6 linked regions of the Oryctolagus cuniculus genome follow. The main gene of each other region encodes a partner of the protein of the gene in region 2 in a complex. Links are inferred from orthologs where the notes say so. Each region holds a gene or a part of one and is shown on either strand. Other genes may lie near its edges.

Region 1 (4,304 bases), on a different chromosome or scaffold from region 2:
CAGAACACAGGGACAGAGGAAGGCCACTTCCCAAGGCCACGGCAGAGCACAGCGGGGCGGAGGGAAGGTGGGGTTTTCCAGGGAGGAGAACCTGAGCCACACAAGCCAGCCTGGAGCGGAGAGGAAACAGCAGAGTGGAGTGGGCCAGGTGAGCGCAGACCCGCGCACAGGCCACGCCTGGCCTGCTCATCTGACTCCTCCTCCTCGTGTTGCTCGCTACAAAGTACAGCAAATGAGTCCGGGCGACCTTCCCAGACAAGAGAGCCTCGGTGACGTAGCCGGCACGGGCTGCCGCCGTGGCCTGTGCCTACCTGGAGTCCGTGCCCCAGTGCATGGCGTAAATCTTCGCCAGGTGCCCCCTCAGCGTTCTCCTGGTGCGCATCTGGATCCTCCCCACCGGGTCGATGTTGTTTGTGATCTTAAACACGAAGGTTCCTGAGGTTAACATCTGTGACCACACGATCTTCCCAGAGCCCTCCTCCTCACCCACCCAGCAGGGCCCAGCCATCCTCCAGCTCTTCAGGGGCACCAGGGCCCTCGGGACTCTGAACAGGGCTGCCGTTTCCACGGGGCGTGAGGACACACCTGTCCCCCTGGCGTGCACACACACGGCAGCCCGGCTCCGCCTCTGTCTCAGGGCCCGGGGCCACCACGGGCACAGCCTCCAGCTCCGCCCATCTGTCTCAGGGCCCGGGGCCACCACGGGCACAGCCTCCAGCAGCTAGTGCTCTGCTCCTACCTCAGGCCACGTGTGGGCCTGGACAACACTCAGCATCGGTGTCTGCACGCCAGCACCCACCCCACAGGGCAGACACCGACAGCAATGCCTCCAGGTTGGCAAATGGGCAAAGCACACCCAACAATGAGTCTTAAAAAATGGACAGTCCACAGTGCGCCCGAGAACTGACAGCTGTGATTCTACGCTGCAAGAATTCCTTCTTACAGCGCATCCCCTTCAGTGTCTGGATCGCCTCATGAACCAAGTCACCTGCAGAGGGTGAATCTAACTTTTCTTTCACTATTCTGTCCGATTCTTTAACTTTTTAAAACTCTGTTACAGTGCCCACTCAGGGCATGCTGTGCAGCCCTCACCACTGCTCGCCTCCCCACCCACCCAGCGGCCACCTCCTCCTCTCGCCCCCACGATCCCTGCAGCCACCAATCTCCTGTCTTTAACTTAACCATTCTGGGTATTTCATACACACAGAGCTACACGTGGCTGCATTCCCTTTCACGGCTGAGTAATATCCCACCGTGCAAACACACCACCACACGTTTGTACGCTCATCCACTTATGGAGAGCTGGATGGTCTCCTCCCTTGGCTGTGTGAGCGGCGATATGAACACTGTACAGCCATCCTCCTTTAACTGGTTTCGCTATGCATGGCTCAGTTTCCTGTGGTCAATCGCAGTCTGAAACTATTACATAGGACATTTCAGATACGGACAATTCCTAAGTTTAAGTTGTGAGCCGTCTGAGCAGGAGGATGACATCCACTCCGGCCTGCTGGTCCTGTCTGGGGTGTGGTCAGCCCTCGGCCCGTGGGACCGCGCTGTGCCCACTGTGGTCACCCAAGCTGCGTCCCAGCCCCGTGTCGTCTGCCTCACTGCATCTCCTCGCACAGGCGTTGTTGTCACAAGTGTGAGTACAGGAAGATTAATTTTTTGAGACAGATCATATGCACAGATTTCCTGCAGTGTTGTTTTTATGATATTCCATTATTAGTCCGCAGCGATGCCCTCTGTAGGGTCTGTGTACACGAGGCTTCAGACACCCACGGGTTTCGGTGTGCGTATCCTACTGAACACCCGCTTGAACGCCGGCTTTTGATCCTTTTGGGCACACAAGGAGCCATGGAGCTGCCGTTCAAGTGTCTGGGGAGCTGTCAGGCCGGCCTGCGGAGTCCAGTTCTTGGACCGACTGGCCACGAAGGCAGCGACACGCCGCCTGACTGAGACAGCAGTCTTCTGCCCTGGCAGGGAGCACTACGCGGGCTGAAGAGACGACGCGAACACAGAACCCCTGTCTCCTCCCACGTCTGGACGGCTCCGCAAGACAGTGCCCCGCAGTGGTCTGGCAGCTGCACGGGCAGAGCTCACTGCGGAGGGCCCAGGCTCACACCGGCTCTTACCTGAGAGAGCGTTGCATCTGCACATGCTTTCCTAGCATCCTAGGAAGCAACACAAGAGAGGTGAGCGGTGTCCAGGCAGGGGCCACCTGGGGCCTCACAGCGTCACTGTGGAAGGAAAGCACCCCCCCCCCAACACCCACCATCCACCGCACTCGGCCACTCACACACAGCGACCGTGGAACCCGGCACGGGGACGGCACCAGGGCAGGGCCCCTGGGCGCGGGGCTGCCCTGGCCTTCGGCGCTTCTGAGCAACCACGCTGGCTCAGCGCCTGCACAGCTGACCCAGGGAGGACGGGAGGCTGGCGCCCAGGGAGAGCGGTCCAGCAAGGACCTAATGACCAGCCCAAAAATCTCTTCGGGACAATAATTACTTTGTTGGATTTAAATTTCACAGAAAAGAGCAAGGCGTCTGATCAGACTGCAGATTCAGATGAAACCTTCTGACTTCTTCCTGGCTCTATCTGCTTTCTTATCTACGAAACGACGAAATGCAGGTACACTCTGCGGAAGGACACGCCATCACTAACATCAAGTGAACAAGGAACTAGACAAGTGTGGAATCTTAAATGAACATATATTTTTATAAATAGGGAGATATAGGGAGCTGGCGCTATGGTGTAGCAGGTAAAGCCACCACCTGCAGTGTCAGATCCCACGTAGACGTGGGTTTGAGTTCTGGCTGTTCGGCTGTTCCACTCCCGATCCAGCTCTCTGCTGGGCCCCTGCACCCATGTGGGAGACCTGGAAGAAGCTCCTGGCTCCTGGCTTTGCATCAGCCCAGCTTCGGCCGTTGGAGCCATTTGGGGAGTGAATCAGCGGATAGAAGACCTCTCTCTCTCTCTCTCTGCCTCTTGTAACCCTGCCTTTCACATAAATAAATAAATCTTAAAAAATAAAAATAAAAAAGCAATATGTAAAAGAGAACTTCAAAAATCAACAGAAAAATGGAACTGAAAGATAAGCTAATTTGGGCACAATATTTTGAAACCCAGGCGTGATTTTATAGTACATATATTCTATGAATTTCCTGAAGACCTCTGTACACTAGATGCAGTAAAATGAGAACACAGCTTTAAAGGCTCACAACAGGAGTGTGGGCAGCCCCTCAGAGGCACTCAGGGCGATGTCCAGTAAGACACAGGTCTCCATGCTGCTGTGAGCTGACACTGCAGCTGGGTGTTCCCAGGAGATCCGATTTTAGGGGCAAACTTCCCTACTGTAAATTTTTATTTTATGAAGCCAGTGGGGATATCTGTGAATTAATAATATAAAGAAACTATTGGCCGGCGCTGTGGCTCACTTGGCTAATCCTCCACCTGCGGCGCCGGCACCCCGGGTTCTAGTCCCGGTCGGGGCGCCAGATTCTGTCCCAGTTGCTCCTCTTCCAGTCCAGCTCTCTGCTGTGGCCCGGGAAGGCAGTGGAGGTTGCCCAAGTGTTTGGGCCCTGCACCCGCATGGGAAACCAGGAGGAAGCACCTGGGTCCCGGCTTCGGATCGGCGCAGCGCCGGCCACAGCAGCCATTTAGGGGGTGAACCAACGGAAGGAAGACCTTTCTCTCTGTCTCTCTCTCTCTCTCTCACTGTCTAACTCTGCCTGTCAAAAAAAAAAAAAAAAAAAAAGTCCAAACCACACTAGAGTTTAAGACAGCACCTTCAGAGTCAACACAAATGGCTGCCTCAGTGGGTGCCCGTCGTGGTGCGGGGGTCAGACGCTGTGTGGGCCCACGTCCCACAGCCAGCTGCCAGGTCAAGTCTCATATCCTGCTCCTGACCAGCTCCCTGCTAGCACGCCTGGGAGGCAGACAATCGCCAAGAACGTAGGGCCCTGCCCCCCACGCGGGAAACCCAGATGGAGCTCCCAGCCGCAGTCTGGCCAAGCCCTGTGGGGAAGCTCTGCTGCTCGGCTTTTTTTTTTTTTTTTTCCTAAGATTTATCGATTTTATTCCAAAGGCAAAGTTACAGAGAGAGAGGAAGAGACACAGAAACTGAGAGATTTCCAACTGCTGGTTCACTCTCCAAATGGTCGCAACGGCCAGAGCTGGGCCAACCCAAAGCCAGGAGCCAGGAGCTTCTTCTGGGTCTCCCACGTGGGTGCAGGGGCCCAAGCGCTTGGGGGCCATCTTCCACTGCTGTCCCAAGCCATAAGCAGAGAGCTGGATTGGAAGAGGAG
Region 2 (4,766 bases):
ATTTGATTATCTGGTATTTGATTTTGCTCTGAATTTCAAGATGCGAATGCCAAGTTTGTCAAGATCATATTAGAATCAAGTCCAAAATTTCATATCCCATGGTGCAACCCTAGTTTTGTTGGCCCAACCCCAGAATCTCAATCCTGTTTCTCAATGGATCCCTGAGCAGTGAACTACTTTCACATAAGAATTTGAAAAAGCTTTCATTTAGGAATATCCATGTCAGGTTTCTGGTTAGAGTCTCTGTTGAGCCAGCAAAAATTTCATAGGTTGAAAGAAACAGCTCAAAGGAAACTAAAATTCAGTATCCATCCAAAAGGAAGAAAAAAACAAGCCCTCATTCTGAGATATAATATTCTATAATATGCTATAACTCCTCTGGTTACAATGATCACATGGTGTAACTCATTATTTTGTTTACAAATTTTAAACTATGATTAGTAAGCCTCTCTTTTGTACGTATTTTTTGTTGATCTTGATCTTTCCACAGATAAAGAAGCACATTTATTCAGAAACACGATATTCCTTAATTTATGATGCCTTTTCCTCCATGGTTAGTCTACAAGAGCTATAGACACCTTATTTTGTTCCTGGACTGTGGTCATTTAGCTATTTCTCTATGCTTCTGATCTCAGTGTAATAAGAATGGAATTATCTCCACAGCATCTTACTTGTCTCTAAATTACATAGATTCATTGATTCAAAGTCTTAGAGAGATAAAGGATTTTAGAAACTTCTTGATCTTTCTCTTCCAGTTTATAGAAAACCGATGCCCAGAACAGATTAAATGACTTTCAGTATCATTTAGGTTTCAGGAGTTACAATTATTATTTCATATCATATGCTTACAAAATGATAAAAAATGAAAAATGCATTTTAATTTAACAATTTTCTCACTGGTCATATATCCCATGACTTATTAAACAAATAAAGTTATGTTTCAAGATAAATTTTTTCAAATGAATTAAAGTATGTTACATATTTTGTAATATTTCATGATATATTTGTAAAATATGAACATATTCTTAAAGATTTTTGAGGTATAAATGTCAGCATAATTTTTGGGTTATAGATGTGAACTAAATACTTCAAGTATTTTGAAGTGTGTGCAATTATTTAAAAATTATGAATTCCTTTGAAAATATTATTTTCTCTAACACATATACTTTCATATATATTATGAAAAAACAATATACACAAACACACTTTGGTTTTGCAACACATACATACTCATGTCATGAGCAAAGTAAAACAAAATTTAGGAAACCATAGCATAATGTTTCTTGATCTAATTGTGGAAACCTAATTGAGGAATAGCATTTGATTATCAGAGCTCAAAATCAATGAGTCAGATGGCAGAATTAATTATGATGAATGCAGTTGCTTTTTTTCCATGCTTACTTGTGAAGAAAAATGTGTTAGATAACATTTTCCTAGATGCTTTGTAAACTACAATTCAGCATACATGCGCATGCACCCACACACACACACTCTCCCATGCATCCACACACACACACACTCTCCCATGCACCCACACACACACATACACACACACGCATATCCCTAATTCCTTTGATTCTTTGAGCAGAACATTATATTCAGATTTTCTTCCAATCACCGGCAGCTCTGTTTGGCAAGTTCTAACAACTCAGTCAAGGTGAAAGCCAGCCAGCTTTTGCTAGTAACAATGTATTCATACAGCATATGATCTCTGCCTGTTCAGGCTGCTTCTTGCTCTTGTCTCAGAATAAGAAAGGAGTGCTGCTTTCCTGGGGTATGCTATTTGAGAAAGAAAGTAACCTAACACTAACTGCAGGCGGGGTCAGAGTGATGTAACAGGAAGCTCTGATGTTTCCCTCCTGCTGCTGATCACTTACAATCTGACAACACTTCCAATCTACTCAGAACAGCCCTTCTCTCTCCAGCAGTGTCAACTCCTGCCTCTTAAGGACCATCAAGCTCTGCTAACTGGATCTCACCCTGCCTGCAAGATCACAGTCTAAGGCTTTCTCTCTTTCCCACCTTGCCTGGGGGGTAAATCTCTTCTGTGGAAACTCAGAAAGTCAAACTCCATCCTAAGAACATTTCACCAAGAATTTCCTTAGGAGCTGTGCTGGGTAAGTGCATTATTCAAAATAATTTATTTATTCAAAATAGTACTCTCATACAGTCTTACCGATATTTTTACTATGGACTTTAGCAAATGGCATTGAAATAATGTTTGAAACAGTCTCATTTATTTCACGTTAGAGGAACTATAGCATGTTTCCTGCCCCCAGCACAAAAAAAAATGCATGCAAAAATCCATTACTACTAGAAGATATTGTTTACAGTGGTGTTCTGGAAACTAAAATTAACGATAAATAAAAACATAAAGGCATATTAAAACTTGGAAGTAATATTTCTGAACAAGTACCTTAATCAGAGAACAATGCCTTTTAAAATTAGCTCTACTAGAGCTAAGCTTTAATCTTGACAGCTGGAAAACATTTTTCCCCCAGAAAGGGTTTTTAACTTTCCATATAATCAGTATTCTAAGAAAGGGATGAAAGAATAACTCCTTACCAGTCTTCGGAGTCTCCCTGTTGTAGAACACAATACAAAAGGAAAACAATAATTTTGGATTTATTATATTTGTATTTATTATATTTGCTTCTATTTGCCTTTCATATCTATTTACATATGTATCTCTAACTACTGAACTAGTGGACTTTTCATTGTTTCAGAATCTGTAGCTGCCAGATGTATTTAAATCTTTTGTAGCCCTGAACTGTTTCTACTGTATTTGGATCCTAGGTTGGACCACAAAGAAAAGAAACTTCTAGAGTTAATAAAATGTGGAAATTTTTATATTATTTCTTATTTCCAAAACTCTTTGGCTGAGAGAATGTGTTTCTTCAACTGATCAGTATCCCTTGCAAGCTTTTGGGGGAGGGTGTGATATGGAAACATCTGTGAATAAAGAAATGCCACAGAACTTTCCCAAATGAGTATATTAGACCCTGAAACAGAGGAATTAAAGTATGTATTTAAAAGAATTTTCAGGATAAAACTCACTGAAATGTTGAGATGAAACATCTGTTAATGCTCTTTCCAACAGTACAGACTGTTCTGGACAATTAAAAAAATCTAGTATCTACTTACTAAGTTGTTGGTATAGCGATATCATAACTTTGTTGGTAAAGAAAGCTAGATGTCAGATTCGGGTCAAAATAACCCGAATTATAAGTGACATAACTTTTTACAAATGTATTTTCTTACCTAAATGAAATTATATTCTGAAATGTCCCTTAATGGCAGAGCCCTGTACTTAGTCAATCATCAACAGTAGGCTACAAACTCATCTTGAGTAATTTTTGACTCAATTTTCTCACAAATTTCTGGACATCAAGAAGTCGGTGAATCTTTAAAATACTTTGGCTTATTTCTATTTCTTTCGATCTTTAATTGTGGTACGCAGTTCCTAGACACATGTGCAGACATGGGGAAGTGTGTTTAGAATATGAATTTGTGAATAGCCTTTAGATGATTTGGAAAGGAAATGGAAACAACATATTAAATAATCTAATGCTATGTTAGTGTCTAAATTAAAAAAGAAAACTCCAATTCTTTTCTTTGGAATATTATATAAATATAATATTGTATGAGTGATTTTCAAACTTTTCTAATTTTTATTTAATTGCTAACTTCAAACCCTTAATTTTATTGCATAATTCAGTTAAATATCCATGTCCATGCTGATAGCATGGTTCATAAACTTTATTTTCCAAAAATACTGTTTGAAACACTAGGCAACGAATATGAGGGTCATTAACAAAGACATTATTTGAATAACTAGCTGTAAATTTGAAATAACAATTCATATTATTCTTTGCTTTCTTTAATAATAAGATAAAATCTGATAATTAATGTATGCATTTAATCATAAAGATATTAATTTATTTTCTGGATATTTCTCTGTAGCATTTTAAAGCCAATGCATAGCCTAAGGTCAATTCTAAAGATGTGAAATGAAACATAGAAGTGAAATTATATGAATAATTTGAGCTTAAATATGTTTTACGTCAAATATTCTATCTCTTAAGGGGATAGAGTTTTAGTTAGGTTAGATCTTTTTTTCTAATACACCTTACCAAGTGCCAAAGCATTATTGTATAAGTTAAATATGTAGATATATGTAGATTTTCACTATATATATAAAACAATTCATTCATCCTGAAAGAAACTGAATCAGAGAAAGTGAAATCATTACCATTGGGTCTTTTAATTTTATAAATGATCCTAAATGAATAGCCAAGTGTTGTGCTTACTCACTGGTGATTCCTAGTATATCACGCAGCTTAAATTAAGAGTCCAGTATATTTATGAGAATATTTACCTTCCCTTGCATATATTCTACCATTATATCCATGAATAACAAATAATTCCAGTCAAAAATTCAAGATAATGTTATTACACAAAAATACCTTTTTAGTTTACATTAATTGAAAAATTACTTGATGAACATTAAAAACAAACTGAACTTTAATTAATGGCAGTATTATATACTTCTAACTTAGATCATATTAGGAATCATTATAGCAGTGTTTTTATAAACTTTCTATACTTAGTTAAAGTTTTCTCTTAATTTTAATGATTGCTTTGCATCTTTGTAGAAAAATTAACAAAATAACTTTAAAGTTAAAATATTTGTTCAAAATATTGGTTCACTAACCATGCTTATTACATATTTTATATATGACTTCAAATGTAGCTTAAAATTATTC
Region 3 (4,923 bases), about 50 Mb from region 2:
GCTCAGCTTCTCTGCACCACGTGGGGGCACAGGGCACAGGGCCGGTGCCCCCGCTCTCCTGGTCTCCCCCTGCACTGGCTCTCCTGGTCTCTGCATGCCCTTGCTCTCCAGGTCTCCCCCTGCCCCGGCTCTCCTGGTCTCCCCCTGCCCCCGGCCCTCCTGGTCTCCCCCTGCCCCGGCTCTCCTGTCTCCCCCTGCACGAGCTCTCCTGGTCTCCCCCTGCCTGGCTCTGTCTGGTCTCCCCTGCCCTGGCTCTGCCTGGTCTCCCCCTGCCCTCTCACGGCCCTTCCTCTGCAGGGCCTCCCTGAGCTTTCTGGAGAGCGTCCCCCCCCCCCTCCGCAGGTCCCCACTGCCCCCGCGCCTGCCCTTGCCGGGGCTCCAAGCCTTGCATGCCTGCACCGGGTGGACAGGAGGCCCTAAAGCCTGGGTTCCCGGGATTGGAGACGCGCCCCCCATGGGCTCCCTGTAGGGGCGGCTCCATCAGCGTTGCTGGGTCAGGAACGGCGGCCCCCTGGGGCTCAGACCTCAGGCCCGGTGGAGAAGAGACCACTTCCCTGGAGTCCCAGCAGAGAAGTGTTCAGTGCGGCCACTGCAGGGAGGGCCGACCACCAGCACGCGCTGGGCCCAGCACCAGCCCTATGTGGCCCTGGCCGGCATCTGCCCGAAACCGGTGCATTCCCTCCGGGGAAGGGAGTCAGCAGGCCCGGCCAACCATCTGCTCACAGCCAGGATTCCACCCAGAGCGCTGGCTCCTGGTGTCACCGGTGCCACTGACCGTGCACACGGGGGACTGGGGCGCGCCCCCAGGTCCAGGCTCACAACACGCATGCTGGTTGGCGTGAGCCACGGAAGAAGACAAACCTCTGGGAGTTTCTCCCTGCAGCTGCACACACAGGGGCAAACAAACCTGACTGGCAAATGAGAAAGCGCCAGGGTCGGACGCCAGGGTCGCGACCGCGTCGGGACGCAGAGCAGCCGGACACGGGAGGCGTCGCGTACCGCCTCTCCTGGGTGTCCCGGAACTTCCAGCTCTCCTCATGGTCGCACGATCGTGTGTTTCAATGTCCCAACCGTTCCAAAAACCCACAAACACACAAACCCCGGCCCCCGCCCGAGGGTCCGGGAGGCTCCGCACGCGAGGCCGGGATGGAGTGACCCCAGCCCGCCTGGAATGGCTTCAGGGTGGTCACACACAGTCTTCCCCACACACGAGCCCATCAGCCTTCCAGGAACACACGCGTGTACAGGACTCTCAGAGCACGGAGGGGCCCGGCACAGAGGACACGCAGAAGGGCAGCAGACTGGACAGGAACAGCTTGGCTATAAAATCCTTAAGGCTGGGGACCAACACGGCCCATGCCGGGTCGCCATCCCAGGCAGCCAAGGTCACCTCCAAGGACATGTGGCCGTGCTATGGCACCGGAGGGTGACAGCGTGCGTGTGCAGCCGCGTTCCAAGTGCATCTGTTCACGGGTGACCTCACAAAGCTCCGTGTGTTCTTCTGAGACGTGACACTGGCCAGGCCACTCAGGACGTGACGATGACGGCTCTGGCCTGGCAGGAGAGCGCAACCGCTCTCTGGTCACCAGGGAAAGTCTGTGTGATCCCAACACAGGGCTTTCTTTGTACCAGCCATAGAGGGCACCGCCTCCGGACACCAGCAAAGGACATTTACGCGTTTAAGTAAAAACCACACAACTCATTCTCTGCCTTGCTAACAGAGCTACGCTGGCTTCCGAGGGCACTAAAACGGCCGACTCCACGTCTAGGCCGACGGAGGACGGGATCACTACAAGATCTCCTTCTCCTGTGACTTCGGCAGAAGCGCTCAAGTGCCAAGGCCGGCGTTGAGATGGCCACACGGAAGCCGGGGCAGGCTTTGGTTACGGCCGGCGGCTCCTCCTGGCCTGGGCAGCCTCTCCTGCCCCCAGGGGCTCAGCTAGAGCAGGGCGGGCAGGCCCCCTCCTCCCACGCCAGGCTCCAGCGGCACAGCAGGCGCCCACAGCAACATCACAGCTCTGGGGAGGGAGCCCTGGACGGAGTAGCCGGTGCCGTCCAGTCCGTAAGAGGAACACACGGAAGGGGACACATCCACCAGCTCGAACAGCTGGGAGCTCTGCATGTGTGCATCAGGACACCCGGCGGAGGGAAGACGATCCCTCGCCCCATCCCCGCAGGTTCCCGCAGCCTCTCCAAGCCCGGCCACCCCACCGCACCGGGGGTCTCCGCCCGAGTCAGGGAGCGAACACCAAGTCGTGGCTCTGCCTCCAGAGGACAGGCGGCTGGCCTGGCTTCAGCGGGGACACCGCTTAGCAAATCAGAAACAGCGGCATGTGACAGTCAGATGACCGGTTTTTACTAATTTCCAAACAGCCGTGGCCCTCACTCAGTCTGCAAGGTGCTCACACCCGAGCCCCAGGGAGCCTGCGCGGAGGGTGGGGGTGGGGAGCAGGGGCGCTCCCCAGCGTGCGGGGCCAAGTGGCAGCTGCCCTTCAGCCTCCTCCACCCCACCCCCACCCCCGCCGGGAGGGCGCAGACCCCTGCCCAGCCGCCTGCCCCGCCCGTCTCCTTGCCCCGCACCCCGGGACGGCCCGGCTTGGGGGACCTCCGCCGCGGGCCCCGCGTGGCGAGGCGGCGGCCGGCGTTCGCGAGCCTGAGCCGGCGTGCTCGCGGCGTGCGACCCCCTCCTCCGCCCTCGACGCGGGGGAGCCGGGCCGGCCCGCGACCCCGGCCCCTACTCACCCAAAAGCAGCCAGAGGCCGCGCTGCGGGAGGCCACGCAGGTCCGGGGCCATGGCGCGCAGCGAGCCGAGCCGAGTCCGCCCGCGGCGCGCCCCGCCGAGTCCTGAGCCCGCCGCGGCGCCCGCCCCGGGAAGACGCCGCCGGGGGCGGGAGCGCGGGGCGGGAGCGGCGGCCGCGCGGCCCGACTCGGGGTGGGTGCCGGAGCGGGCAGCACCTGCCGGGTGGAAGTCGCCCAGAACCAGGAAAACGCTGCCGCCTTCCGGAAAAGTTCGCCAAATTAACAATCGGGAAACCTGGGTGGCGGGGCGGGGGGCAGTGCGCTTCCAGAACCCTCCGGGCACCTCGCCGCCCTCCCCTCGCAGGGTCTGGTCACTCTTGCCCGCAGTCAGGCGCTCCCTGCCCCTCCAGGTGCGGGCACGGGGCGCCCGGGGGCAGCAGCAGCCTTGGCGCTGGCCGAGCCCCGCGCACAAGAAGCCGGAGCTGCGGGGTGCGGAGGGGCGCGCCCTCGCAGAGGCCCTGGGCCCTAGGGAACAGGGAGCGCTCTTCAAGGGGCTGGGGGGGCCGGGGTTGCACCTGCCGCTGAGGGTGACGCAGGGACCAGGGCCTCCAGTAGAGAGGTAACGCCTCGCTTGGTGGTGGCCGGCGCGAGCGTGAACCCACCCGGGTGGCGGTCACCCGCGCAGCCCTTTGCAAGCAGGGCTGAGAGGCGGGCAGTGCGGGAGACCTCAACCCCGCATTCACCGCTGGCTTAGCGGTGGCTCCTTCCCCAACACCCTGTGAAAGCGAGTTAGCGTTCCTTCGCGGCCACTGGTTAATGTCACAGCTTCCAGTGCAATGCCCGCCGTCTCCGTGGGTCAGCCGGCGCGGGGCAGGGGATGGCTGACCGACCCCGCTCCTCCGCCGAGGGGCTGCTGCCACCTGCCGGGCGCTCAGAGCAGCGCACAGCGAGGCGGCCCTCGGTCCCCTCTGAGCCCAGGTTGGCAGGGCGGGCACTCCCTGGGGGTGGGCACGCCTGCGTGTGCCCGGGGGCCCCAAGTCTCCTGGGGGCGACGGTGGTGGAGGGCACCCGTTCCCGACCTGAGCAGCCCCTCCGCCTGAGCCCTGGGGCACATCCCACCAGGTAGGCCCACATCCTCAGCTGGTGCATCCAGTGGGGGACTGCTGTGCCGCAGGGACCGTCCAGCACGGGGGCACTGCCCTCCGCCGTGGAGTAAGGACACAAAGGCACGTTCGCGACAAGCTGCACCCCCTGGTCTTGAGGACTGGGGGGGGGGGAATCCCTGAAGAGACCACAGGCTACAGCACAGGCCTGGGGTCCAGAGACCACGCCATGGCCAGAGGGCGTGAACACGGCCCGTGTGGCCCGAGGACAGGTCCACCTGAGTTACGCTAGGTGATGTGAGTGGAGGCGACCTCGTCCTGGCTCAGACCCCGTCCACACCCAGCTGCCCCTCCCCTGGGCCCCGTCTGCTCGCCCTGCGGCTGCACCTGGATTCCTCCCAGGAACTTCTCCAAGGGTAACTGCAGGAGGCGTGGGGGCCCCTGGACAGGCACGGGCTCCTCACAGGGCCAGGCTCCCTTGTCAGGTTCACGCTGGAGCCTGGAAGCTCACGCTCTCTGGAGAATGCTGAGGTGACCCAGAGCCCTGCGCCACTTCCTGTCCTTTCACGTCTGTGCCCGGCCCGGGACGAGGTAGCCAGTACTACCGAGGGTCTGCGCTGCTCCGAGGGGCAAGGCGGAGCAGACTGTTTACCCCGAGTTGAAGACCCCACCCGGTGAGACTCTGTTCAATTTGTGTGTTATTTCTGGTTGGCAGCTGGAAGCATGGGGATCCATTCCTCCGGGGGCCCCCACCTACAGCGCATCAGGGCCAACAGTGGCTCCGCTGTAGAACGGCCCAGTGCTGGCTGTGCACGTGGTAGCTACACAGTGTTCACTGTACACGTGGCTACACACACAGTGCTGACTGTGCACGTGGTGGCTACACACACAGTGCTGACTGTGCACGTGGTGGCTACACACACAGTGCTGACTGTGCACATGGTGGCTACACACACAGTGCTGACTGTGCACATGGTGGCTACACACACACGTGGTGGCTACACACAGTGTCTCACTGTGCACGTGGTGGCTACACACACAGTGCTGACTGTGCACGTGGTGGCTACACACAGCCCAGCGT
Region 4 (4,509 bases), on a different chromosome or scaffold from region 2:
TGACTCTAAGGTCAGTCTCCATGTGAGAATGATCAGCTCCGGAGAGTCAAAGCCGGCTGCCAAGGCTACATGGCAAGACAGAGGCAGGAGCTGCCTTCCAAATCCTGCCATCCAGGACACCATCACTGCCCTGCTTAAAGCCCAGTATGCGCTTCAGCCATCTTTCATCAGGACCCCACGCTCAGCTCAATCCTAACCCACAGTGGGGCTGTGGGCTCCTGACCCCGCCCTGCAGAAATGGCTTGTTTTGCTTTCTGCCCCTCCTTGCTGCCTCCTCTTGTCTTATCACCCAGAAGTCCCCTGCTTCCTTCTGGGAAAGGGTGACCCCAGATAGGACAAAAGGGACAGATTTGGTGCCAGCCTGGGAGTGACATCGAGGCTGCACCATTGCAAAAATGACTCTTGCCGGGAGTGCTTTGGGCCACCTCCTCTGTCCCATTGTGTCCCTTGCTAACTTAGCTTTTTTTTTTTTTTTTTTTTTAATTAGACAGGCAGAGTTATAGACAGTGAGAGACAGTTCACCCCCCAAATGGCCACTGAGGCCGGCACTGTGCCAATCCAAAGCCAGGAGCCAGGTGCTTCCTCCTGGTTTCCTGTGCGGGTGCAGGGGCCCAAGCACTTGGGTCATCCTCCACTGCACTCCTGGGCCACAGCAGAAAGCCGGACTAGAAGAGGAGCAGATGGGACTAGAACCTGGCGCCCATATGGGATGCCGGCGCCAGCCCTGCTAACTTAACGTCTTAATTCTAGCTGTAAAAGAAAACTTTAGATTATCTATGGCCATGATCCCCAAAGCCTGGGATCCCGAAATGAGGATTTTAAGAGGGATCATGAAAGAGAAATTGTGGTGGGCAGGAATCAGTAAACTGGGACAACAGCAGCCACTGGTTCCAAGGGTCAGCGTCTGGGAGTAATTAGAAAAGTTTGGTGCCGACAGCTGTGCGTCTGGGAGTGGAACCTCATGGCCAAACCAGCTCCTGAGCTCGTCGGCTGCCCCAGGCTAATGAAGTCCGGTTCCAGGACACAGGGGCGGCTGTGATGTGGCAGCAGTGAGGGCGCCTGGGGTCCAGGCGCAGCCTTGCTGTGGACCAGCAGTGGCCTTAGGCCGGGCACCAAGGACACACATCTGTCCACACCACAGCGGAGGAAGGGACTGCCCCCATTTCTCACAGGAGACCACAGAGCGAAATGTGTCCTTCGAGGCCATATAGCTGGGGAGTAGGAAGACAGAATAAGGACCCCAGAGCCTCTGGATTCAAGTCCTGGGTTCTTTCCCTGTACGATGGTGATAAGAATGGACACGCTTGGTACATGACATCACCCACGGGAAGTTCTGAACGTCTCCCCTCTTCCCTACGACCTGGGTCTGGAGGGCTGCGGGCACCTTCTTTCTGGGGAGGTACTCGCCCCCGCCCCCACCGTCAGATTTGGGGATCTAGGACCCAGCAAATGCTTCCAAGGAAGGCACCAGACTTGGATTTCCCCTCTCGCGTGCACTCCCCTGGCCCTGTCTCCTCCCCGGTCTGGCGGACGGGCTGACATCAGCGGGTGGGAGTTTCCAGGGCAGAGGAACTCTGAGCTGCAGGGCTTAGCTCCAGGTGCCCCTTCCCCCACGGCCCACAGCAGCCCCAGTCCCAGTCCCAAGGCGGCTCCGCGAGGCCCTTGCAGCTCCCAGACCCTCCCTCTTCCCAGACGACCCCACCGCCTGCCCCCGAAGAGAGCCGGAGACCAGGGCCCAGGAGCCCCTGCCAGTAGACCCCGGCGAGTCCCCGGCGCCTCGCAGCTGAGCCCGAGCACCGGATCTCGGGCGTGGGGTTACGAGGGGAGCTGTCCAGCCCCGCGGGGTGAGCGGGAGGGAGCGTGGGCCAACACGGGCGAGGAGGAGGGAGCCGCGGGCTCCCGGCGCGGGTGCGGCAGCGACTCCCCCTGCAGCCCGCGGGCCCCGGGCGTCGCCTCCGCCCCCCACGTGGCCGCAGCCGTCCCAGCCCCTCCGAGGAAGCGGCGCGGCTTCCTGCGGCTCGGGCCGGGGATATAGGCGCCCCCGCCCGGGCCCGGCTCAACGCCGCCGCCCCTCCTCGCCTCGCCGCGCGATGGCCTCGCTCCGCGCGGAGCGCGCAGCTGGCGGCCCGCGACTCCCTGCGACCCGCGCCGGGCGGCCCGCGGCGCTCCGCCTCCTCCTCTTGCTGCTGGGCGGTGAGCGCGGCGCCCCGGGGCCCCGCGGGAGGCGCGGAAGGCTAGGGAGGGGAGGGGGCTGGACGGCCGAGGCGGACGCGAGCTCTGCGGGGTGAGCAGTGCGTCCTGCGGACGGTCCCCGGCCCCACCTCGGGGCGGCCACAGCACGAACTCTGCTCCTTGCTCGGGGAAAGCCGGGGTGAGGGCAGGGGCCCGCGGACACAGTCCTGGAGGGCTGGGCTGGTGAGGGGGGTGTGCGTACGCGCGCCTGGGCCTGGTTGTGCGTGGGCAGGAGCTCGTGCCACCCCTCCTTTCCAGGCGCGGAGGCATCCCGCGGGGGCATCCCTCGGATGCACAGACGGCTCCTCTTTCTCTTAAACCGGCGCCTGGATCTCCAGGGGTCGCAGCCTACATGCCCCTCCCCCGCAGGCGCCACTGCCTGCTTCACCACCTCTCCACCCTCCTCTCCCGCTTCTTCCCACAGCTGTCCTTAAACCCCAGGAGTCCCTGGCCCAGACTCTTCCCACCCCGGGCAGCTTGGAGCCAGAAGGTGGGTGCCCAGGGGCTGTGGGAGGGAGGCCTAGGGCCGGGAGGAGAGCCAGGTCAGTGCCTTTCCCATAGGCACCCCCCAGCCCCCTGCTGCCCCACTCTGCTGCCGGCTGGGCCCCCGTCACAGGTGGGTGGGAAGAGCCCAGGAAAAGGTGCACGTGGAGATTGTCAGGCTTCGATGAGAAGTGCTGCCCAGATGGAAGGCACCAGATTGCTCAGGCAGGCCGCTCTGCGAGGGGAACTGGCAGAGGGGTTCCCACGTCTGAAAACAAGGGTCGTGGGTTCCACCTAGACAGTCCCTGGGCCAGAGGGTGTGTGGGGGTCAGAGGGGTGGCAGGCCATGGTCACTGAGCAGCGTCTGTCCCCACAGGGAGGACGGGGGAGGAGAACTACGAGACAAACGTCCTACTTTGTTGGAACGACTATAAGGTTTACATGGACTCTATCGAAAAGGATTGGTGCGATTGGGCCGTGATTAGCAGGTAGGGGCCCTCCTGGAGGGCGGCCCAGGCGCGCGGGGGTGGGGGGTTGGACTTTGCTGCTGGGTGGGCCTGCCTCTCCTTCACGCAAGCCCTCCCTGCCCCCAGGCCTTACAGCGAGCTGCGAGACTGCTTGGAGCAGAACGCCGAGGAGTTCGGCCTGGGCTTCCCCAACCCCTGGGCAGAGAGGATCATCTTCGAGACTCACCAGATCCACTTCGCCAACTGCTCCCTGGTGCAGCCCACCTTCTCCGACCCCCCGGAGGACGTGCTGTTGGCCATGATCATAGCTCCCATCTGCCTCATCCCCTTCCTCGTCACGCTGGTGGTGTGGAGGAGTAAAGACAGCGAGGCCCAGGGCTAGGGTGGCACAGCCTTCCCCATGCCCTGCCAGCTCTCGCCCTCTCCCCCCCTCCCCACCCTCTTCCCTCGGTCCCAGCCCCTGCAGGTCCCCGGTAGATGGAGATGGAAGTCGGGTGGGGCCATGGCACAAGTTCTGAATCTAAATAAAAACTTCTTTTGGGTACAATGTCCCCCTTCCCATCCTAGCGGGGCCTGTTCGCTTCCCGGAGCCTCTGCCACCCCCACAGCAGGCCGCAGAACTGGGCGAGTCGGAGGGCTTCATGGCTCTGTTCACCCCCCCATCCCGCCCCCACCCTGGATGAACGCCCTGCCCCATACTCCTTCCTCCCAGGGCAAGGCCTTTCCTGCCTCGCTCCAAACCCAGCACCAGGAAACAAGCAGGAAAAGACTCCCTTCCGGTCTGCACGGCAGCGGGGGGCGATGCAGGAGGAGGGGCAAGGGAGAAATCTGCCATGACTCCTGCAGCCAGGGAGGCAGCCCCCCACCCCGGGCGGTCCTGACTCGTCCCTGCATGCCTGTTTATTCTGAAGGCTTGGGAAGAGGAACCCGGACCTAAGCACCAGGAATCTATCGCTGAGACCTCAGAACGGAGGGCAGAGGCAGTGGGGACGTCCTCGGCAGGGTCCACCCCTTCCCACTAGGTCCCTGGCCCTCATCCTACATTGTCCTGGATGGGGTGTGGCCTACATGGTGGCCACACACTGCCCCCTGGTGTCCACTAAAGCCAAGACTCAAAAGATGTGTGTGACCTGGAAGCAGCTCAGGGCTGAGGCCGCCGGGCCCTGGGTCAGAGAACTATTTGTTCTCTCCATAGCATCCTCTGGTTCTCCCCCACCCTGTGTGTGGGCCTCTGAGACATCCCAATCAACCCTCTGACCTCTCTGCAACTCCCGGCTTCTGCACATGCACACCAGGTTCTCGGGGGAACCTTCACCTCCAGCCCTCC
Region 5 (4,863 bases), on a different chromosome or scaffold from region 2:
TGGCGTGGGCAAGTTGGGTTCCTGCCAGCCGACCGGCGCGCGGACCTCCGGAGGGGAGCGGGCCGACTGGTCCGGGTTCCGTCGGCAGGTGGCGGGCAGAGCAGGTGGGGGAAGTCTTAGTCAGCCAGAGGCCTTGGGTGCTGCGGGGGGACCGAGCGCCGGCCCTGGCGGCGCCCCTAGAGCTAAATAGCCTCTCCCGCAGGGGCGGAGCTGGCGCGCCGGGGGGCGGGGCGGGGGCGGGGGGGGGCGGGGGGAGGACGGCACCGGACGCGGCCTCGCCTGGGACCCTTGTGGCTTCAAGGAGAAGGCGCGGGACAGCAGCGCTGGGCAACTGCGCGGGAACCCCGGGCTGCCGCGCCCTGCCAGGGCTCGGGTCGCTGCACAGTCCAGAGCCTGGGGAGTCATGGCTGGGCTCTCAAGCCAGAGGGTGGGCCCCGGGCAGCGCTGGCTCAGGATCCCGCGCAGAACAGATGGCGGAGGGTCTGTCGGGTCCCAGGGAGGCCGTTCCCAGGCGGCCTTTTTCCTAGAACCTCGTTTTGTAAGAAACTCAAACCTAGGTGCCAGGCAAGATCCCTGCACAGTGCCCACTGTGGGGCCAGGTTCTGCTTCCCTGTACCTCACACACAAGCACGTCGAATGGAAAGTAGACCCGGCCCAGCTCCATAGTTGGTGTCCTGTGATTGATTTAACCAATCCTTCATCAGTGGCCACGAGAACCCTGCGCGGTCTCCACTGGACAGCAACGGTGCTAACCTGTTCTCCACAAACCTGGTGCCCACCACTGTCCACAGATGAAGGCCTCGGCAGCTCTCGGCTTCTTTGTCCATCTGAGAGGCAGCCATGATCTCATCCGCCTCCTACCAGAGGTTTCTCCGATTACCTGCCCCTCCTCATACCCCCTGTGGCCACTCTGTCCCTCCTGCTGAGCACACCATGGGCGCTCAGTAAACATTTGCTGGATGATTAAGTTCATGAGTGTTGAGCCTGGCCTACCTCTGAGAAGGGTGGGGGGCTCCAGCAGTCACCTGCTTGTCCATTCCTACCAGCCAGGCCTGAGAGGGGTCGTGTGTTTGTGTCAGGAGCACAGGCCTGGGGAGTCCAGCAGGAGCGGGGCCCATGGGGACATGGGGGACAGGGTGCTGCACACACGGGCTCCTGGCTCCCGGCACAGCCTTTCTGCCTTCTGAGCCACCCGTGGGTCACCCACACGGAGGTGTCGGCTCAGCCTTCGGTGCTGTGAGCGAGGGCTGAAGACAGGGCAGGATTTCGAGGTGGTCGGGCCCTGGCAGGTGGAGGGACACCGTCCACAGAGCAGGCAGAGGGAAGAAGGTGGTGTAGGGAGGTGTGGGCAGAGGGCCGAGGAGGGCACTCGTCCTGCAGTGTCATCTTCCACACTGTGGAAGCACCATCGTTCCAGACACAAACATGGTTTGTCCACCTTGCCAGTAGGGACGTTTTAATCTGGGACAGGTGGTGGTAGGTCTGGGGGTGGGCGGGCCAGAAGCCCACTGCCTTCTTTCTTTCAGACCCTGGGACGACTGAACAATCACTACCTCCATCAGACCGTGGTCCCATTGCCCAGAGCCCACGGTTGACGGCGCTGGGGGGGTCCTCTGACCCTCAGGCATCAGCCTGGCTGCCTCTCCCACTGGCGAGCCCACAGAAGTGTCCCCACACTCTTCAAGGGGAGGCCCTGGGCCTCCGTTCTTCCTCAGTTGAGGAGCTGCCCCTGGGGCGCGATGGGGCGGCTGCCCTGGAGCAGTGTCCACGGCGGAGACGGGTGAAAGGCAGGCCAGCCAGGCCCGGGCTGCGGGAGGGCTGGGTGTGCTGACGGCAGTGGGGAGAGCTTTAGAGAAGTGGGAGTGCAGCAGACAGCGAGCGTGGCGACCGCCAAGGGAGGTTTTGAGAGCCGAGATGAAGCTGGAGCCAGAAGGAGGAAGAGAGGGTGTGGTGAGGGCATGGCCGGCCAGCAGCAGGCAGAGGCTCTGTGGGTACGTGGTGGGGGGGATGCCGGCTGGGGGTCTCCCACCTGGTGGCTTCTGTTTCTATGTGAGGAAGGGGCAGCAGCTGGAAGAGCTGCGGACTGGAGACAGCTGCCCAGACAGCAGCAGGCTGGGCAGTGGGTGTCACCACAGGCCACTCACCCTGTATGGTGAGCGGCAGGTGAGGGGTGTGGATGGCCCTGGAGTTTGGCCAGATGGGGGCCAGAGGGGCCGGCGCTGTGACCCTGCAGTGGGCTGAGCCTCCGTCTGTGGCGCTGGCATCCCCTGTGGGCGCCAGTTCTAGTCCCAGCTGCTCCTCTTCCGATCCAGCTCTCTGCTTCTGCTCTGGGAAAGCGGTGGAAGATGGCCCAAGTACTTGGGGCCCTAAATCTGCGTGGGAGACCCAGAGGAAGTTCCCAGCTTCGGATCAGCTCGGCTCTGGCTGTTGCAGCCATCTGGAGAGTGGATCAGTGGATGGAACAGTGGATGGACGACCTCTCTCTGTCAGCGGGGGAGAGGCGGCTTGGGTGGACGCAGGCACTGCTGAGGGTGCCACGGGCAGGACCCGAGACTCAGCGGCAGGAGCCTTGCAGGGTTAGGGCAGCCTGGAAGGGACAGGCCCCTGAGGCTGGGGACACAGACCTGGGCATTGACATGGGCCTGGTGGGAGGCCTAAGGGCAGGGAAGCGGGTGTGGGGTAGCCCCTGGCAGGATGTGTCCAGGGCTGCTGCTGCCCACACACAAACCCCGGAGTGCTAATAGGGGTGGAGGGGCTCCTTTCTGGGTACATGTGCTGGAAATCAACTCAAGCCGGCTTAGACAAAAAGGGTTCCTCAGCCTTGGTCAACCCGGGAGTGGCTGAGGGCGGCTGTGGCTGTGCCACCGTCCACCAGCAGGGCGGAGATGGGCTGGGCCCCCCCTCAGCTGTCTCTGAGCTTGCCTCTCATTCTCTCTGGCCACTCCTGGGGCAGATGGGACATGGCTGCCATCAGCTTCCGCAGAGCCAGCTCCTTGCAGGCACCCTGCCCTTGAGGGCCATGTCTCCCTTGACCATCGCTGGGCCGCTGCTGGGGAGGGCCTGACCAGCCCCAGCACTTGGGGGCGGCGGGTGTCCCTGGGCCGGGTGTTTGGATCTCCCTCGCCTCCGCGGGGACCCCCAAGGGCAGGCCCAGCCTTTCTCGAACCCAGAGCCCCCAAAGGTGGGGCTTGGGTGCCCCCCTGAGGTGACGGCCTCGGCCTCCTCCGTCCTCCGGCCGGGCCCACGTCCCTCCCGCCTTCCCTCAGCCTGAAGCGCCTCCCAACGGGGGGCTCAACCAGGGCCGCTGACCGGTCGGAGGGTCTGCACCGAGGCCCCGGGGCGGGAGACGATGGGCGGGCCATCGCTTCCGGGATCCGCCCCCACGAATGGTCGACCAATGGCGTTTGTTGTCTCGCGCCCCGCCCACTGGGGGGGGCGGGCCGAGGGTGCGCAGGCGCACGGCGTGGCCGGGCGGGCCGGCTGGCTGGGAAGATGGCGGCGGAAGTCCTGGCCACCGCTGCCGCCGCGGAGCGGGCCCGGGGTATCCGGGGTGCGCGGTCCAGAGCCGGGGCCGGGCCATGAGCGCGCTGCCCTCGAGTCCCCGAGCCGCGGAGCCCGCCCGCGCCCCTGGGTCCGCCCCGCGCCCCTCGCCATGGCGCGGCTCGCGGACTACTTCGTGCTGGTGGCGTTCGGGCCGCACCCGCGCGGTAAGTGCCGCGGCTGAGGGCCGGGGGCCCGGGCCCGGGGGCCGGAGGCCGGCTGGGAGCTGGAGCTGAGGGCCGGCGCCTGGGAGCCCTGGCCCCGGGCCGTCGGCGAGGTGCTGCGGCCGCTGGGCCCGCGCGAGGCCGGCCGGGGCACCTGCGGCTGTGCCGGGGCGGTGGGCAGGGACCGCGTGATGGGGGCGAGTGCTCCGGCGGCGACCGGGGAAGTGGGAGGGCCCCGGGGCGGCTCAGCCTCCCGGACTCCGCGTGGGGTGGGATGGGCCGTGCGCCTTGGCCGGCTGCCGGGGGCATGGGTGGTTCTCTGCCGGCGCCTCCTCTGCCCCGATGCTGGGTCTGAAGCCTCGAGCAGGCTTGGTGGGGTGCCGGCGAGGGGATGGGGTTCGGGAGCCTCCTCGCGGAGAGGTGTGTTCGAGCTGGGGCTGCGAGGGTTGCAGGAGGAAGTGCCGGGAGCGGGCGAGCACTTTGCTGGCGAAGGGCCTGCTGTGCGGCCCGTGTCAGCCAAGCCCCGGGTGGGGGCCCGTGTGGGGGGTCCGTGTCTGCGCTCAGCACCTGTGTCCGAGAGCCCTCAGCCCAGGGGGCAGGAGGAGACGGAGCCTGACGATGACATCAGCATTGGCCGGCGTCCTTGGAGTGCCAGGCCCTGCACAGCCCTTTGTGTGCATGATGTGCGCTTCCTCCACCCAGCAGCCCACCCAGGTTGCCTGATGGTGCCCTCCTCTGTCGCGGGCGCGGAGTGAGGCGCGGAGAGGGTGAGCGCCCGCTCCAGGCCGGCGCGCGGGGGCAGGGTGTCGTCCAGCTCGGCTCTGACATCAGGCTGGGGCTGGACCTGGAGCTGAGGCTGAGCCCTCCTGCCAGTCCAGCTGCTGCCGTCACACCCAGCGCAGGACTGGCCGCTCTGCTGAGCCTCCGTTTGCACTGTCCGTGTGTCCACCCCCACCTGCTGGACCCGGCGTGATTTCTTGGTGTGTCCCTCCCCTGCACACTCAGCTCAGTGCCCGCTCCTCCTCTCTGCTGCCGTCTATGCGAGCGCGCGGCTGCTGGCACCGTCAGTCGGGAGCATCTGTCTTCAGAGTTCTCGCAGGGGAGGACCACGGCGTGCCGGTCACCCGTCCTCCGTGCCCGCAGGCTCGCTGTCAGTGCT
Region 6 (4,833 bases), on a different chromosome or scaffold from region 2:
CCGCGCAGGTCTGGGGGGGCAGCCCTGGCTGGCATCTGCAGACTGTTTTTTTCTTTCCTCTTTCATTAAGGCTGTGTGCCGACTCCCACGTAGGAGAACTTATTAAACCGCACGTACAGCCGCCGGGCTCCGGGGCCCCCCCGCGGCGGCCGGCAGGGGGCGCCGCCACCCCGCAGATGAGCCCGCCGCCCTGCCGTCCCCGTGCCTGGGGGCGCGCAGTCCGCAGGCTACCGAACCTCCAGCCGCGGGGCGGCTTCTCACTTGCACGCGCGCGGCCGCTGAGCGAGCTCCGCGCTCGCAAGGCTTCGGAGACCGCCGCAACTTTCCGATGCGCGATACGCGCAGGGTTCGGTAAACCTGGATTTGCCGCAAGTCTGCTGAAGCCATTGCGCAACCCGAGGAGTCCGGGCGCGCCTCGCGGTGGGGCTCACCCTACCCGGCCCGCCCTGGCCGCCACGCGAGGCAGTGACCTCCCGCGTCTCCTCGGAGCCCCGACTCACACCCAGGACCCGCGCTCTGGGCTCCCCACGTGGAGAACAGAGCCCGCGACAGCACACCCGGCATGGAGAGATGCCAGGTCGGCCCCCCGCCGCGCCTCCCCAAGCCTGGAGTCGGGACCCCGAGGCTCCCGGGCGCACCACTGCGAGAGGCAGCCGCCCTCGCTCGACGCGTGAGCGAGAATGAATCAGCATCGAGACAGTTTATTGGTTTGCTGTTTGCATATCACCCATTTTATGTAAATAGATTATACTGAGACATGGTGTTTCCTTCTTCCACAAGAGGTAATCAGTCTCTCTCTCTCTCTCTCTCTCTCTCTCTCTCTCACACACACACACACACACTCCAACAACCGTCTTGCATCTCACTGAGACATTCACACCTTAAAATAAAGGGGAGGGGGACAATACAATTGCTTTAAAATGCCCTTAATACAATATATAACGTACAAAAATATCTCTATATTTGAAGTTACAAAAAAATCTCGACAGCAACAGACTTAAATATTGATAATTACCTCTGTATATACATAGCGCATTGCACTTTTCCTCTCTAGGTTTTGTAAAGTTCAAGTAATAGGAGGCTCGCGCCCCGTGGGGTGCCACCCGTGAGAAGTCGGTCTGGGGGCGGGCCAGGCAGTGGCTCAGACCCTTGCCCTTGGAGTCCAAGCGTGTAATTCTCAGTTTCTCCTCTCTGTGAACCTGGCAAACACTCCCTCGGATTCCTCTGCCCCCTTGGGGCGCCCAGGCCTGATCAGGGCCAAGGCGGCGCTTCCCGGAGGAGGAGGAGGAGGGGAAGGAGGAGGAAGAGCTGCTGCAAAGACAGGGCTGGCTGCCCGGCGCTGCCTCCCGGACGTGGGGTCTGTGCAGGGCTGTCTCAGTCCGGTCCCCATCCGGCTCGCGAAGCCCTCGGCCCCGGGAGGCGCCAGCGGGATGCGCGCCCAACCGCTCGCTGCTGCCACGAGCGCCTAAATCCTAAGGAGGGTGGCGAGCACTCGGTGCTCCCGGGAGCTCGGAGCCCAGCGCGCCTGTGGCTCGGAAGACACCAGAGTCCGATCCCGGCCGGCCTCGGGCAGGGAGCGCCGGCGCCGGCGGCCGTAGCCTTGAGGGCTGATCTTGTTCCGGGGGGCCGTGTCGTCCTTGTCCTTGTCGGTGAACTGGTAGATCTGGTGCGCCAGGTTCTGCACCGTGCACGTCCCGAAGCGGCAGCCGAAGCTGCGGGAGCCTTGGAAATTTTTCATGCTTTGGCGGTAACGCTTGACTCGGATGCGGGCGGCGTCCGCACTGCTGGGGAGCGAAAGGGAGGCAACTTGAGACCCCATCCAGCAGGGCTGTGGCCCCAGACACCGCGGACGGGAGCCATTCTAAGATCAGAGGCAGAGAGAATGTTCCCCGGCGCTCTGAGCTGCAATCCAGCCCTGCCAATGCCCAGGACCGGAATGGTGGGGAGAGAGAGCGCCCCCCCCCGCCCCGCTTGCACCCCAGTCTCCAGCTGCGTGCGGCGGTTACCTGGCCTGCGGGCTGCGCGAGGCGCTTCTCACGTCCTGCGGCCGAATGAGGGTCTGGGCAGGCCCTGCCTTCACTGAAGCGAGCGCGCTGGGATAGCTGCTGGAGTCCCGCAGCTCCCTCTTCCCACGACTTAGAGCCCACTTACTCCACCTGGAAGACAGAAGCAGACCAGATTCGCGTGCGTCCAGGCGACCGCCCGGCCCTGCCCGGCCCATTCACTTCTAACCCCTGGGGACCAGCGGTCCATTTCCCTCGTCTGCCAGGTACCAGGACAGGGCAAGGCGCTGCCAGGGACTCACTTCTTTCGGAACTCCGACGCCACGTCGAGCCGTGCGGCGTCCGAGCCTAGGAAGGCCAGTGAGCCTAGGAACATCAGGGCGACAGAGACCAACTTCATCCCGACGACGATGCGCAGACCCTGGCAAAAGACAGAAGAGGAGTGGAACGTGAGCACCCAGGCCATCTGCAAGGCCCGGGCGGGGCGCGCAGGGCGGGAGGGGACCCTGGCGCGGGCGAGCTCAGCGCGCGCTCTGCCTGGTTCGGGCGCTTATCTCCTCGGGGCGCAGAGAGGCCGCCAGAGGCGTCTGCACCCTTGGGGGCGGGTGACAGGCTCTGCAGGGGAGGCCGTTGCACAGCGCCAGGTTCCCAGAGGTTCCCTGCTCAACTTCGTGGAACTTAGCGGACGGAACGGAGGGGAGCTGGTCTTTGGCGCTCCTACTGTGTCTACGAGCTGCGCCCGGGATCTGAGGTGTTCCCCGCCAAGGACCCCTCTCCCCTCCCCCAAGTGGATTGTTCCCAGCGCTCCCAGCTTCGGGCCTCAGCAAGGGCCGGCTGTACCCCGCTGATCGTGCGGCACCTACCTGCTGAAAGGGTGATGTGACAAGTTCTGAGAGCAGCAAGTCCGAGGCGTCCCTCTAGCAGCGGCAAAACCCCCAAGTCCAAGCGCGACTGCGGTGAGAAGCCAGAAGTGGCCAGGCTCGAGCTGTTCCGCCTAGTGTCACCAAGAAACCACTGAGTAGCCAGCTCGGGTTCCCGTGCTTTTATAAGCGCTCAGGGGGCGGGGCCTGGACTGCCCTCGAGCCCTCCCTCTTGTTCCTCCGGCGCGCGCGCTTCTGCTCTCGGGCGCGCGCGTTCTTTGCCTGTAGGTGTGGGGTTGGTGGGGGGAGAGCGCGAGTCCCTCGAGCTCAGAGACTCAAGAGGAGAGCTCCAGGTTGGTGCAGAAACTGCCATAGCCCTAACTCGCTGGGCGCAGGGTTCACATGGCAAGTCCGGCGGAAAAGAGGGTAAGCACAGCCCCTTGGGGTCCTTATCCCGGGATCTATGCAGCCTTGGAAGAGGGGGGTCTCCCAGCAGGGAGCTGAAAGAACTAGTGGGGGATCCGGAGCGGATGGCTGGGACTGGGGAGCTGCAGTCTCAGGCGCACCGCGCCCCCTGCCGGCTCAGCGTCTGACCTGGCCCCGACCCCAGGCTCCCGCGGAGTCGCGGGGGGCAGGGTCCAGGAGCAGAGCAGAGCCGAGCAGCGAGGAGCCAGGGCTCCTGGGCTCCCAAGAGACGACCAGACCTCGGGGGTTTGGGATAAGCTAGTTAAGATTTCACAATACACGCAAAGCTCGCAGCGGCTGAATCGATAATTGGATTTGGAGGGGAGGGGGTAAATATGTGAAGTTTCAGAATTGACGTGCCTCTTTGGAAATACAGGAATAGCCGATGTTTCCCCGCGTGTCATCCAATTATGCCTTATAAGGTGATAACCTGAGAGTGCCCTGCCGCTTCGATTCGCCCATTGCAAACGTGAGGCTCGGCTGCCACGGCGCGCGCTAATGCCTCGTTTATGGTTTAGGAACAGACAGGGCCCTCTCTCCTTTGATCTCCACGTGAAACCTGAGCGAGGGGAGGAGGGTGACAGCGCGTTCCCCATTTGCCCCCGTGGACGACTGAAATTCAGATGAAATAAGTCCCTTGCCCAAAGTCACGGGAAAGGTGGGAAGCGGAGGAGCCCTACCCCGGCCCCGCCAGCGAGTAGGGCAAATTGGGGCGCGGCGTGGATTCTTCTAGGCTGGGGTCACCATCCCGTCGAGGCGGGGAGAAGCGTCCCAGCCCCCGCCCGAGGGTATGCCTGATCACGATGAATCGGCCCAAACACGTTTGTCCCCCTGCCTTGCGCTTCCGCCACAGCTTCTTGACTCGCTGTCTTTCTCTTCTAGAGGCAGAATGGAAGGCAAAAGTTCAGCGCCTTGCACGCAGGTGTCTGGCGTTCGCGTTGCAATTGTCCCGAAGCCCACCGACAAGCGGGAAAGACCCCTGGCCAGACTGGCGGCTTGTCCTCGCCGCCTAGCTAGCTGCCGCGCGAACGCGGGCGGGTCACGTTGCTGCCTAGCGTCCCGGTCGAGAACGTGGGCTCTCAGGGACGTACCTGCTCTGCCGCACGCTTCTGAGACCCAGGGCCAAGCTGCTGGGCGCTGGGCTCCGGGAACTCGGCCACGGTGCGCTGCTGGCTTGGCCGCCTTTTTCTTGGGAAAGGGACCCTGGGCATTTGCACCGAAATGAGAAGTGACTGCCCCGAGGTTATTTATTCTGAGGACTCTTCCCCGAGGGAGTCACCTGAGCGGCCCTGACTTGCAGCGGAGGGCGAAGTGCAGACGCCACTCTCTGACTTTGAGAGGGCTTGGGACGCAGAAGGGCAGAGGGGTGCCGCGCGGCGAACCGGGCAGCATCTGGTCGGTGCGCACCGAAGACCGCAGGTACTACGGCGAGTCTACCCCTTCCGGAAGCCTGCCCGGACTCACTGCTGTTTTTCACGCTCCCCTCTCCTGTCTTGTCTCTTCCC

What was found.
Region 1: the proteins of CALCRL (region 2) and GNB1 are in contact, whole or in part, in a cryo-EM structure (PDB 6UVA), measured with the Homo sapiens proteins. The link is inferred for Oryctolagus cuniculus from reciprocal best matches to the Homo sapiens genes CALCRL and GNB1. Residues at the interface, in NP_001258680.1 of Homo sapiens: Lys167, Ser168, Ile394, Arg397, Asn398, Gln401; in NP_001269468.1 of Homo sapiens: Arg52, Phe292, Ala309, His311, Asp312.
Region 3: the proteins of CALCRL (region 2) and RAMP1 are in contact, whole or in part, in a cryo-EM structure (PDB 6E3Y), measured with the Homo sapiens proteins. The link is inferred for Oryctolagus cuniculus from reciprocal best matches to the Homo sapiens genes CALCRL and RAMP1. Residues at the interface, in NP_001258680.1 of Homo sapiens: Asn39, Met42, Thr43, Gln45, Tyr46, Glu47, Tyr49, Gln50, Lys51, Ile52, Met53, Gln54, Thr68, Trp69, Asp70, Gly71, Arg113, Arg119, Thr120, Phe228, Leu231, Ile235, Thr239, Val243, Ala244, Gln250, Trp254, Tyr255, Leu258, Phe262; in NP_005846.1 of Homo sapiens: Trp59, Ile63, Tyr66, Arg67, Ala70, Phe83, Trp84, Pro85, Asp90, Phe93, Leu94, His97, Gly98, Phe101, Arg102, Cys104, Pro105, Ile106, Ser107, Gly108, Arg109, Ala110, Val111, Arg112, Asp113, Pro114, Ile118, Leu119, Phe122, Ile123.
Region 4: the proteins of CALCRL (region 2) and RAMP2 are in contact, whole or in part, in a crystal structure (PDB 3AQF), measured with the Homo sapiens proteins. The link is inferred for Oryctolagus cuniculus from reciprocal best matches to the Homo sapiens genes CALCRL and RAMP2. Residues at the interface, in NP_001258680.1 of Homo sapiens: Arg38, Asn39, Ile41, Met42, Thr43, Gln45, Tyr46, Glu47, Tyr49, Gln50, Lys51, Ile52, Met53, Gln54, Trp69, Asp70, Gly71, Arg119; in NP_005845.2 of Homo sapiens: Trp86, Ile89, Tyr93, Ser94, Arg97, Leu109, Gly110, Pro112, Glu117, Ile120, Phe121, His124, Gln125, Phe128, Ala129, Cys131, Ser132, Leu133, Val134.
Region 5: the proteins of CALCRL (region 2) and ADM2 are in contact, whole or in part, in a cryo-EM structure (PDB 6UVA), measured with the Homo sapiens proteins. The link is inferred for Oryctolagus cuniculus from reciprocal best matches to the Homo sapiens genes CALCRL and ADM2. Residues at the interface, in NP_001258680.1 of Homo sapiens: Val36, Thr37, Lys40, Asp70, Gly71, Trp72, Asp90, Tyr91, Phe92, Gln93, Asp94, Phe95, Asp96, Pro97, Ser98, His114, Ala116, Ser117, Thr120, Trp121, Thr122, Tyr124, Thr125, Asn128, Thr131, Lys134, Val135, Ala138, Leu139, Leu141; in NP_001240774.1 of Homo sapiens: Leu106, Arg107, Val108, Gly109, Cys110, Val111, Leu112, Gly113, Thr114, Cys115, Gln116, Val117, Gln118, Asn119, Leu120, Ser121, His122, Arg123, Leu124, Trp125, Gln126, Leu127, Met128, Gly129, Pro130, Ala131, Gly132, Arg133, Gln134, Asp135.
Region 6: the proteins of CALCRL (region 2) and ADM are in contact, whole or in part, in a cryo-EM structure (PDB 6UUS), measured with the Homo sapiens proteins. The link is inferred for Oryctolagus cuniculus from reciprocal best matches to the Homo sapiens genes CALCRL and ADM. Residues at the interface, in NP_001258680.1 of Homo sapiens: Val36, Thr37, Asp70, Gly71, Trp72, Asp90, Tyr91, Phe92, Gln93, Asp94, Phe95, Asp96, Pro97, His114, Ser117, Thr120, Trp121, Thr122, Tyr124, Thr125, Asn128, Val135, Ala138, Leu139, Leu141, Phe142, Thr145, Thr191, Leu195, Ala199; in NP_001115.1 of Homo sapiens: Cys110, Arg111, Phe112, Gly113, Thr114, Cys115, Thr116, Val117, Gln118, Lys119, Leu120, Ala121, His122, Gln123, Ile124, Tyr125, Gln126, Phe127, Thr128, Asp129, Lys130, Asp131, Lys132, Asp133, Asn134, Ala136, Pro137, Lys140, Ser142, Pro143.

What each region holds. Positions count from the first base shown.
Region 1 is NC_091438.1:163,949,429-163,953,732, reverse strand, and holds part of GNB1 (guanine nucleotide-binding protein G(I)/G(S)/G(T) subunit beta-1), read right to left. Parts: intron 2,172-4,304; coding exon 2,133-2,171; intron 419-2,132; coding exon 312-418; intron 1-311. UniProt on the Homo sapiens protein: Guanine nucleotide-binding proteins (G proteins) are involved as a modulator or transducer in various transmembrane signaling systems.
Region 2 is NC_091434.1:52,916,324-52,921,089, forward strand, and holds the start of CALCRL (calcitonin gene-related peptide type 1 receptor), read left to right. Parts: upstream 1-1,689; 5' UTR 1,690-2,117; intron 2,118-4,766. UniProt on the Homo sapiens protein: G protein-coupled receptor which specificity is determined by its interaction with receptor-activity-modifying proteins (RAMPs). Together with RAMP1, form the receptor complex for calcitonin-gene-related peptides CALCA/CGRP1 and CALCB/CGRP2.
Region 3 is NC_091434.1:2,452,632-2,457,554, forward strand, and holds the start of RAMP1 (receptor activity-modifying protein 1), read right to left. Parts: upstream 3,224-4,923; 5' UTR 2,795-3,223; coding exon 2,743-2,794; intron 1-2,742. UniProt on the Homo sapiens protein: Accessory protein that interacts with and modulates the function of G-protein coupled receptors including calcitonin gene-related peptide type 1 receptor (CALCRL) and calcitonin receptor (CALCR). Required for the transport of CALCRL to the plasma membrane.
Region 4 is NC_091448.1:20,145,275-20,149,783, reverse strand, and holds RAMP2 (receptor activity-modifying protein 2), read left to right. Parts: upstream 1-1,985; 5' UTR 1,986-2,090; coding exon 2,091-2,193; intron 2,194-2,656; coding exon 2,657-2,722; intron 2,723-3,091; coding exon 3,092-3,203; intron 3,204-3,308; coding exon 3,309-3,564; 3' UTR 3,565-3,726; downstream 3,727-4,509. UniProt on the Homo sapiens protein: Accessory protein that interacts with and modulates the function of G-protein coupled receptors including calcitonin gene-related peptide type 1 receptor (CALCRL) and calcitonin receptor (CALCR). Required for the transport of CALCRL to the plasma membrane.
Region 5 is NC_091442.1:123,407,974-123,412,836, reverse strand, and holds the start of ADM2 (protein ADM2), read right to left. Parts: upstream 3,448-4,863; 5' UTR 1-3,447. Other genes in the region: SBF1 (myotubularin-related protein 5), read left to right, coding at 3,653-3,707. UniProt on the Homo sapiens protein: Intermedin/ADM2 is a peptide hormone that plays a role as physiological regulator of gastrointestinal and cardiovascular bioactivities mediated by the CALCRL-RAMPs receptor complexes.
Region 6 is NC_091432.1:55,858,520-55,863,352, forward strand, and holds ADM (pro-adrenomedullin), read right to left. Parts: upstream 3,031-4,833; 5' UTR 2,867-3,030; intron 2,425-2,866; 5' UTR 2,404-2,424; coding exon 2,306-2,403; intron 2,157-2,305; coding exon 2,007-2,156; intron 1,785-2,006; coding exon 1,466-1,784; 3' UTR 701-1,465; downstream 1-700. UniProt on the Homo sapiens protein: Adrenomedullin/ADM and proadrenomedullin N-20 terminal peptide/PAMP are peptide hormones that act as potent hypotensive and vasodilatator agents. Numerous actions have been reported most related to the physiologic control of fluid and electrolyte homeostasis.